2 linked regions of the Mus musculus genome follow. The protein of the gene in region 2 purifies or fractionates together with the protein of the main gene of each other region. This does not show direct contact. Links are inferred from orthologs where the notes say so. Each region holds a gene or a part of one and is shown on either strand. Other genes may lie near its edges.

Region 1 (3,654 bases), on a different chromosome or scaffold from region 2:
CACCATAGCACGCGGACAGCCTTCAACGGTGGAAAACTATCTTGCCCCAGAAGCTGCAAGGATGTCCCTGAGAGGAGGCAGTAAAGTTCAGTTTTTATCCTGAAAAGCTAACTTATCAGGAAAGCTATTCTAACTTAGTTTTCCTCTTTTTCTGTCATTTTCTCAAAAGATCTTCAACTTCTCAGAGCCCTTTCTTACAGGAGAGATGGATGGTTTCATGGCATTTGACCTGTGCTCATGAATCCACTAGTCTTTACTCCTTACTTTTAGAAAAACAGACAATGTTCCCTCCCTAACAATGGGTATCAATATGTCTTGCTATGTATTTGGTCAATGATGGGTTGGCCACTACCCTTTTCTGATACTGAATACAACTACTTCTACCACACTAGAACCCATGATATTGAATGCACACCAGAAGCAGTTACTAGGGAAGGGCATGGGCAGTCACCTTGTTTGAGGTGGCGTATTTGTGTGCAGCGTAATACTCGGCATCTGCTTTTGCCTTCTCTCGGGCCAGGAACGCAGCATCTAGCAAATAAAACGGTAACAGCATGTTTGCAATGAAAGAAAATTGCCACTCTATTCCCTCATCTGGGTAAGAGTATCTTTTTTACTGCTTAATATTTCAATTGTTTGCCTCACTGTAAGTTATAAATTTAACAACTTAAAAACTCTCAATCCTCAGAACAGCTCCTTTATAAGGGGAATTAAAGTTCATCACTGTTAACCAACAGCTCCTTTCTAAGTTAACTCATTTTCTGTTCTAAGTAGTTCCCTTGTCCTCCACCTCCCTCCAACTTCCCATCACCTAGAGCCTTACCCTCCACCCAGGAAGGGGTCAGGCAAAACAACTACAGGCCGAATCTAGAAACACAGAGAGATAAGAAAAAGCTATATATAAGCATAGACCATGGTCTAAGAACATCCACATTAGCTAGCATATGCAAGGCCCTGGGTTCAATAATGAACAGATCTACGTGATTACAGAGTTTTAGATTTTTCATTACAACTGGACTGTATCTTTTTCCCAGCTAATTTTTTTTTTTTTTTTTTTTTTTTTTGGTCAAGACAGGGTTTCTCTGTGTAGCCCTGGCTGTCCTGGAACTCACTGTGTAGACCAGGCTGGCCTTGAACTAAGAAATCTGCCTGCCTCTGCCTCCCAAGTGCTGGGATTAAAGGCGTGTGGCCCCAGCTAATTTGTTATTATTGCTGTTGACATGTGACAAACTGGTGGTGGTTCAGTTCATTATTTTGAACATCAAAAAATTATTTGTGTGTTTAATTTATGTGTTTAAATTATGTGTGTATGTGAGAGTAAGAGAAGAAAGACACACAGAGGGGGGAGGGGGAGGGAGAGAAGGAGAGAGAGAGAGATTGTACCCAAGAGACCATCTGGAGCTGTAGTTAGAGGCAGCTGAGTACTGCCTAAGCTAGGTTCTTAGAACTGAACTCAGATTCTCTTCGAGAGCCATACGTGTTCTTAAGTACCGAGCTATCTCCCCTGCCCTTACTGAGCACATGCCTAAAAGCTTTTCATTTCATTTCTTTTTTTTTTTTTTAATGTATGTGGGTATTTTACCAGCCATGTATCTCTGAGCATCATATGTATACAAAAGGGTGTTAGATCCCCTGGGGACTGGAATTAAAGATAGTTATGAACTATCACATGGGTCTGCGGATTGAACCTTGTCCTCTGGAAGAGTAGCCAGTGTTCTTAACCACTGAGCCATCTCTCTAGACACTTATTTTGTTTTAACAAAAGATTTTAAGGAATTCTTATACTTCATCAGAAAATATAGTAAGAGCTAAAAAAGCCTCATTGTAGAAAAGGAAATGAAAGTCACAGACTAAAGTGAGAACTAAATTACATAGGTTTTGTTGTTGTTTGTCTAGAGCATCAGGGTAGTTACTTCCTCCAGACCAGCATGTCCTATGTTTTTCCCCCACAAGACAATCAAGAACTGGTCCTGATGCAGAGAGGCAGTTCAGGACACTCAGAACTTCAGCCTTTCACTGTTGTACCTTCAATCTCAGAAATGCGTTTTTCAGTTTCTTTCTCCATCACTTTCTGTTGAAATCGAATTTTTGCTACTTGTGCAATCTTCTCTGCTTCTATAATAACACAACAAAGAGAAACACACTTAGAATCAGCAGTACAAAGTGCAACATTAATTACATGTGGCTTTATGTCTAACTGCTTCCAAGGTTTTATCTGTTCTGAAACGATTGAGAGGAAGGGAATTCCCTTCTTTCTTTGCTGTTCTAGTTTGGTGCTGTTCTTCTTTGTGGGAGGAAGGTTATAAAAGGTTAGCAGTTTCAGTCTTTCATGAGACTAGAAAACAACGGTTCACAGGCTAGAGGTAAAGACCGGTACAAAAGTGAAGCAGTACAAACTCATGGTGACAAAGGACAATGGCATATAGTGGCAAGGGAAAGGCAGAATTAGGGAAATTAAACAAGAGGACATGTTGTAGGAAACAATGGACATGACCTGGTAGGGATATGCCATGAAGCATAAAAGAAATTACATAGGGATAAAGGAAAAAACAAAACAAAAACCCTACATAGAGAGAGTCTACAGCCAGACAACAAAAGAGGACAACAGGAAGCCTGTGTTTTGAGTGACAGGATCACCAAGAAGATGACATAGGAAAAGAAGGACATGAGTTAGCAATGGAAACAAATGTTCACAGTGAGCACAGAAGCTGCCATACCCAAGTGCACACAGGGAAACTAAACACCTTTAGTGACCATCTGTCCTAACCAAAGCTCCCCAGACCAAACAGGAACGGTTCCAATTACACTTGAAAGTCTATCGACATAATTCTTAAAATAACATCTCAATTTTCCTTTTCAGATGAAGATTATGACAGCTATGGTCTTCTATGGTCACAGGTTTCTCATCTGAAGATTCAACCAAATACAGATGGAAAACACTCAGAACTTTAAAACAAGTGTGTACTGAACATAAAGATTCTTCTTGTCATCACTCCCTGAATGGTGTAGTATAACAACGGTTTCCGTAGAGCTTTCATTTAACAGGGATAAGTAAAGTATATGAGAGAATGCACCTATGTCAGATGAAACACATTCCATTTTCTATAAGGGGCTAAAATACTGTAGACTATGGTATGAAACCCCCCAAAGGCCCCAAAAGATACTTTAGCATATCTTGTCTCTGGCTTCTGGGGAGAAACATAAAATAAGAAAGAAAATTTCTAAACACTTTTATTTTTTTTTCCAGAAGACAGTACCCTTTATAAATTACCCCAGGACTTAATAGAGTGAAATTAATGTGTATTATTCTAGTTTAAAGATAAACTGCGATATACCACTCTCCATTTCATGGGAAGAAACCAATGAACAGCAAGATTTGGATTCCAGACAGAGGAATAGACAAAGGAGAAAATTCCTTTCAGGTATACCCGAAACTGTCATGGTAGACAATTGGTCTGCCTTAGAATGCACAGCAAGTTCATAGCAGGAACTAAACCCTCAAGGGCACAGAGAGAGAGAGAGAGCTGAGGATTTGTATGGTGGCAGCTACGGTGTGACTATTTCACAAGAAAGAGCGGCAAGTAGGCAATGCTCCAAACAGGAGCAGAAAGGCCTTGTACATTTGAACTGACTTCCAAATAAAACCAAGATCTC
Region 2 (3,654 bases):
CTGTCCAAAGTGAAACATCTGCCTAGGGTCACGGGCTTTCAAACTTGGTAGGGTGTCCACAGAGATGGCAGGAAGGGTACTCACCAGAAGAGGTGGCCACACAGGCTGATGACAGCATCCTTGGCTGTGTCCAGGCATATGTTGCACTCAAAGGTGCTGTCCTGCCCTCCACTCTCACCAGTGCCATTGCTGCTGCCACTGGGCCCCCCTGCATTGGAATTCTCAGTGGATGCAGAGGCCGAAGGCCCTTTACTTGCCATGGCTGCTTGCCAGCAAAGCTTCCAGGGAAGATTCTCAAGACAATCCTGGAAGGCAGAAAGCACTTGATTGTCCATTGCTGCAGCCTACTTCCCTCAACTTCCAAGCCAATACCTCATCTTCTCTCAGCTATAAACTCTAACTATGATTGAACTGGGAGCTGACTTCCCAGAGGGCGGCAGGGACAGAAGCTCATGCACTCCTCATGAGTTGCTGATGGAAATGGCCCAAGAACACATCTCATAAAACACAAACTGCAAAAATGCAGAGCAACCTCTAGAAAGTTCTCAACACAGCTTTCCCATTTATATTTCCTGGATTAACCACAGCAGGTAATAAGTATTATTCTCCATTAAATATTAAATTGAACTGCCAAGGTATCTTTTTTTGTTTGTTTGTTTTTGTTTTTGTTTTTGAGACAGGGTTTCTCTTGTGTAGCCCTGGCTGTCCTGGAACTCACTCTGTAGACCAGGCTGGCCTCGAACTCAGAAATCCACCTGCCTCTTCCTCCCAAGTGCTGGGATTAAAGGCATGCGCCACCACTGCCCGGCCAAGCTATCTTTTAATTTTGGACAATTTATGTTGACTAGGAGAACAGAATCTACTCAAGATTATGACTGATATATGGCAGAATATAAAGAAATTCCTGTGACTGGGAAAGATTGGGAAGCTTGAAGCAGCCGATGATGATCTTTGGTACTTTCTGCCAGCTGGATACCACTTACCTTATTTTGTCTAAATATATCAACACACTTAAAAAGGAATTTATGCCAGTGAAGGAAAAGTTGTCCATCCCATACATCCCAAAGTCATCTGGGACACTCATGCTCTAGGCAGTCCTGGTCACTTCAGGAAGACTGAGTTAGCTGGCTGAGTGATTAGTGTGGGTTTGAGACCAGGACTCATGGTACACTATTTGTATTCAAATCACCACATCACCATAGCTAAGGCTGGTCACCAACTGCCAGTGAAAAACATATCATTATTGACCACCACTTCCAAATCAAAGAAAGCAAGCAAAGACAAAGAGACCCATACAAGGCATATCCAGGAATTCTGAGTGCACAATAAGAGCCTGTCAGGAGCTTCATATGGCTACCCTCATTAGTTCAGGAATTAGAAGCAGAAATACTGGGTGGCTACCATAGAGACCTAAAGACTCTGCCCAGCCTCCAGCCTGCTAGGAACCACACTTTTCCTGGCCATGCTTTTCTCAGGTATAAAATGAGGACTCACCACTGGGGTATCAGATCACCTTGACTTCAGCTTCCAAATAAAAAAAAAAATCAAGTCCCCACAGCTGGTTTTCTCAGACCAAGAAGCCTTCCCCTGCACCTTCACAGGACAGATTTAGAGCTTGGGGCTCATGAGCAACTCTCACTACAACTGCAGCTTAGCGACTAGGGCAGGGAGAGAGACCAGGTCTCTGCCACTTTTTCACTCAGTTACATCATTTTACGTGATGTCCCAGAAGGGCAGCTGGTTGCTGACGGTAGCAGTGTCTTGCTAGCCTCAGTTCCAAGACCTTCTTCATGGTCTAGAGTTTCCTCCTTTTCCTCTTTATAACCGTGTGTGTGTGTGTGTGTGTGTGTGTGTGTGTGTATTACTAGGGAGTAAATGTAGGCCCTTACAATGCTAGTTCAACACTGAGCACTCCATCACTATACAGATCCACAAGCCCCAGTGCTCCCTTCTGAGATCTACTTCATTTTATGTGTACTACTAACGCTCATCTGTTTTGTTTAACATTGGCAGAATTACTGTTAATTTTGTTGGGTTATAATCTTATCATGTAACTTTAAGTCAGGCCAACTCTGGGCCAATCAATGAGAGACTTAATCAAAAAACAAGGTAGATCACTCCAGAGGAAGGACACTCACATAGTTATACATGCACACGCATATACAGAGATTTTTTTTTTTAATTAAAGAATAGGATGTTTGGAATTTACTTTAAAATATTCCAGAATAAGGCTAGGGGGATGGTTCAGTCAGTAAAATGCTTCTTGTTTAAATGTGAAGATCTAAACCTGGGTTCCCAGCACCCACATGATGTAGACCAGGCCAGCCTCAAACTCACAGACCCACCTGCTCCTGCCTCCTCAGCTGGGATTAAAGGTATATATCACCATGTCCTGATGCATCACATTTTTAATATACTGCTTTTGAAATCAGGCTAGTATAGCAGTACCTATAATGTCTACATTTTCCTCAATCCTGAAAAGCTCTAAATTCAAATTCGACTCTAATACTGACTGACCATGGTTTAAATTTCTTTTCTCTGCAACGGGGATGTAGCACAGTTTGCAGAGAGTCTGCCAAGCATGCATAAAACAACTGGATTTCCAGCACCACTTAAAATAAGGCACAGTGGCATTTACCTATAATCTCAAAACTTAAAAGGTAGAAGCAGGTCGGGCAGTGGTGGCTCATGCCTGTAATCCCAGCACTTGGGAGGCAGAGGCAGGAGGATGTCTGAGTTCAAGGCCAGCCTGATCTACAAAGTGAGTTCCAGGATAGCCAGAGTTACACAGAGAAACCCTGTCTCAAAAAAAAAAAAAAAAAAAAAGAGGTAGAAGCAGGAGGATCTGAATGAAGTTCAAAGACATTCTTGGCTACATGTAAATCTGAGGTCAACCCAGGTTATATAAACTAACTAATTTCGTTTATCCCCTGAAAAGTAAGCACTGGGCTACCCAGATCAGTGATCTAGGGCAAACCTATGTAGGAGGGGCTACTGCCACATATGCAATACTTACAATCAACCCATCCTACCCGATCCAACAAGGCTCTGCATGGCTCATGCTACCACTCACAGGCATGTTGCAAAAACTGGGGTAAAGAGAGGTGTTAAGGTAGGAATAGTCAGGAGACAGCAAAAGGCCAGCTGAGAGTTTGCAGGGTATAATAGCCATGCAGCGACCCAAATACTGGGACATGACAACTCTGAACATCCCACACCACTCTTATCCTGACTCCCTTCTCCAGGCCTCATCCAAGTAGGCGCTCAGATAACTGCTGAATGAGTGAGTACAAGTGCGCATGACTGGTTACGGTCAACCGCCAGGCTGCCTGCTCACAAACCCCTTTGCAAGTCTGGGTTCCAAAGCCATATACTCATCTATGAAGCCTCTTCTCTACCTCCTCCCCAACCCCATGTGCAAAGAGAGATGAGCAGCATCGCTTTGGGGCTATCAGCTGAGCACCTACAGAGCAAAAAAATGTAGCCACAGCCTCATGGGACTTGTAGGACTAGGACAGTGGCCAGATAATATAGGTCCTGGTTGACTCGGACACTAGACTTCTACCTAGAATTAGAAGAAAATAGGGCCTGACCCTTGCTGAGCTGCTAAAGTCAATCTTGGTCCTTATAGAGCCTACAGACTCTGATCTTACC

Evidence for each region. The genes of interacting proteins can lie anywhere in the genome.
Region 1: the proteins of Rnf185 (region 2) and Erlin1 purify together in Homo sapiens (affinity purification with mass spectrometry; 3 studies listed by BioGRID and IntAct, with this or other methods). This does not show direct contact. The link is inferred for Mus musculus from reciprocal best matches to the Homo sapiens genes RNF185 and ERLIN1.

Annotation. Positions count from the first base shown.
Region 1 is NC_000085.6:44,038,722-44,042,375, forward strand, and holds part of Erlin1 (erlin-1), read right to left. Parts: intron 2,116-3,654; coding exon 2,026-2,115; intron 532-2,025; coding exon 452-531; intron 1-451. UniProt on the Homo sapiens protein: Component of the ERLIN1/ERLIN2 complex which mediates the endoplasmic reticulum-associated degradation (ERAD) of inositol 1,4,5-trisphosphate receptors (IP3Rs).
Region 2 is NC_000077.6:3,432,316-3,435,969, forward strand, and holds part of Rnf185 (E3 ubiquitin-protein ligase RNF185), read right to left. Parts: intron 306-3,654; coding exon of another isoform or gene 261-305; coding exon 85-260; intron 1-84. UniProt on the Homo sapiens protein: E3 ubiquitin-protein ligase that regulates selective mitochondrial autophagy by mediating 'Lys-63'-linked polyubiquitination of BNIP1.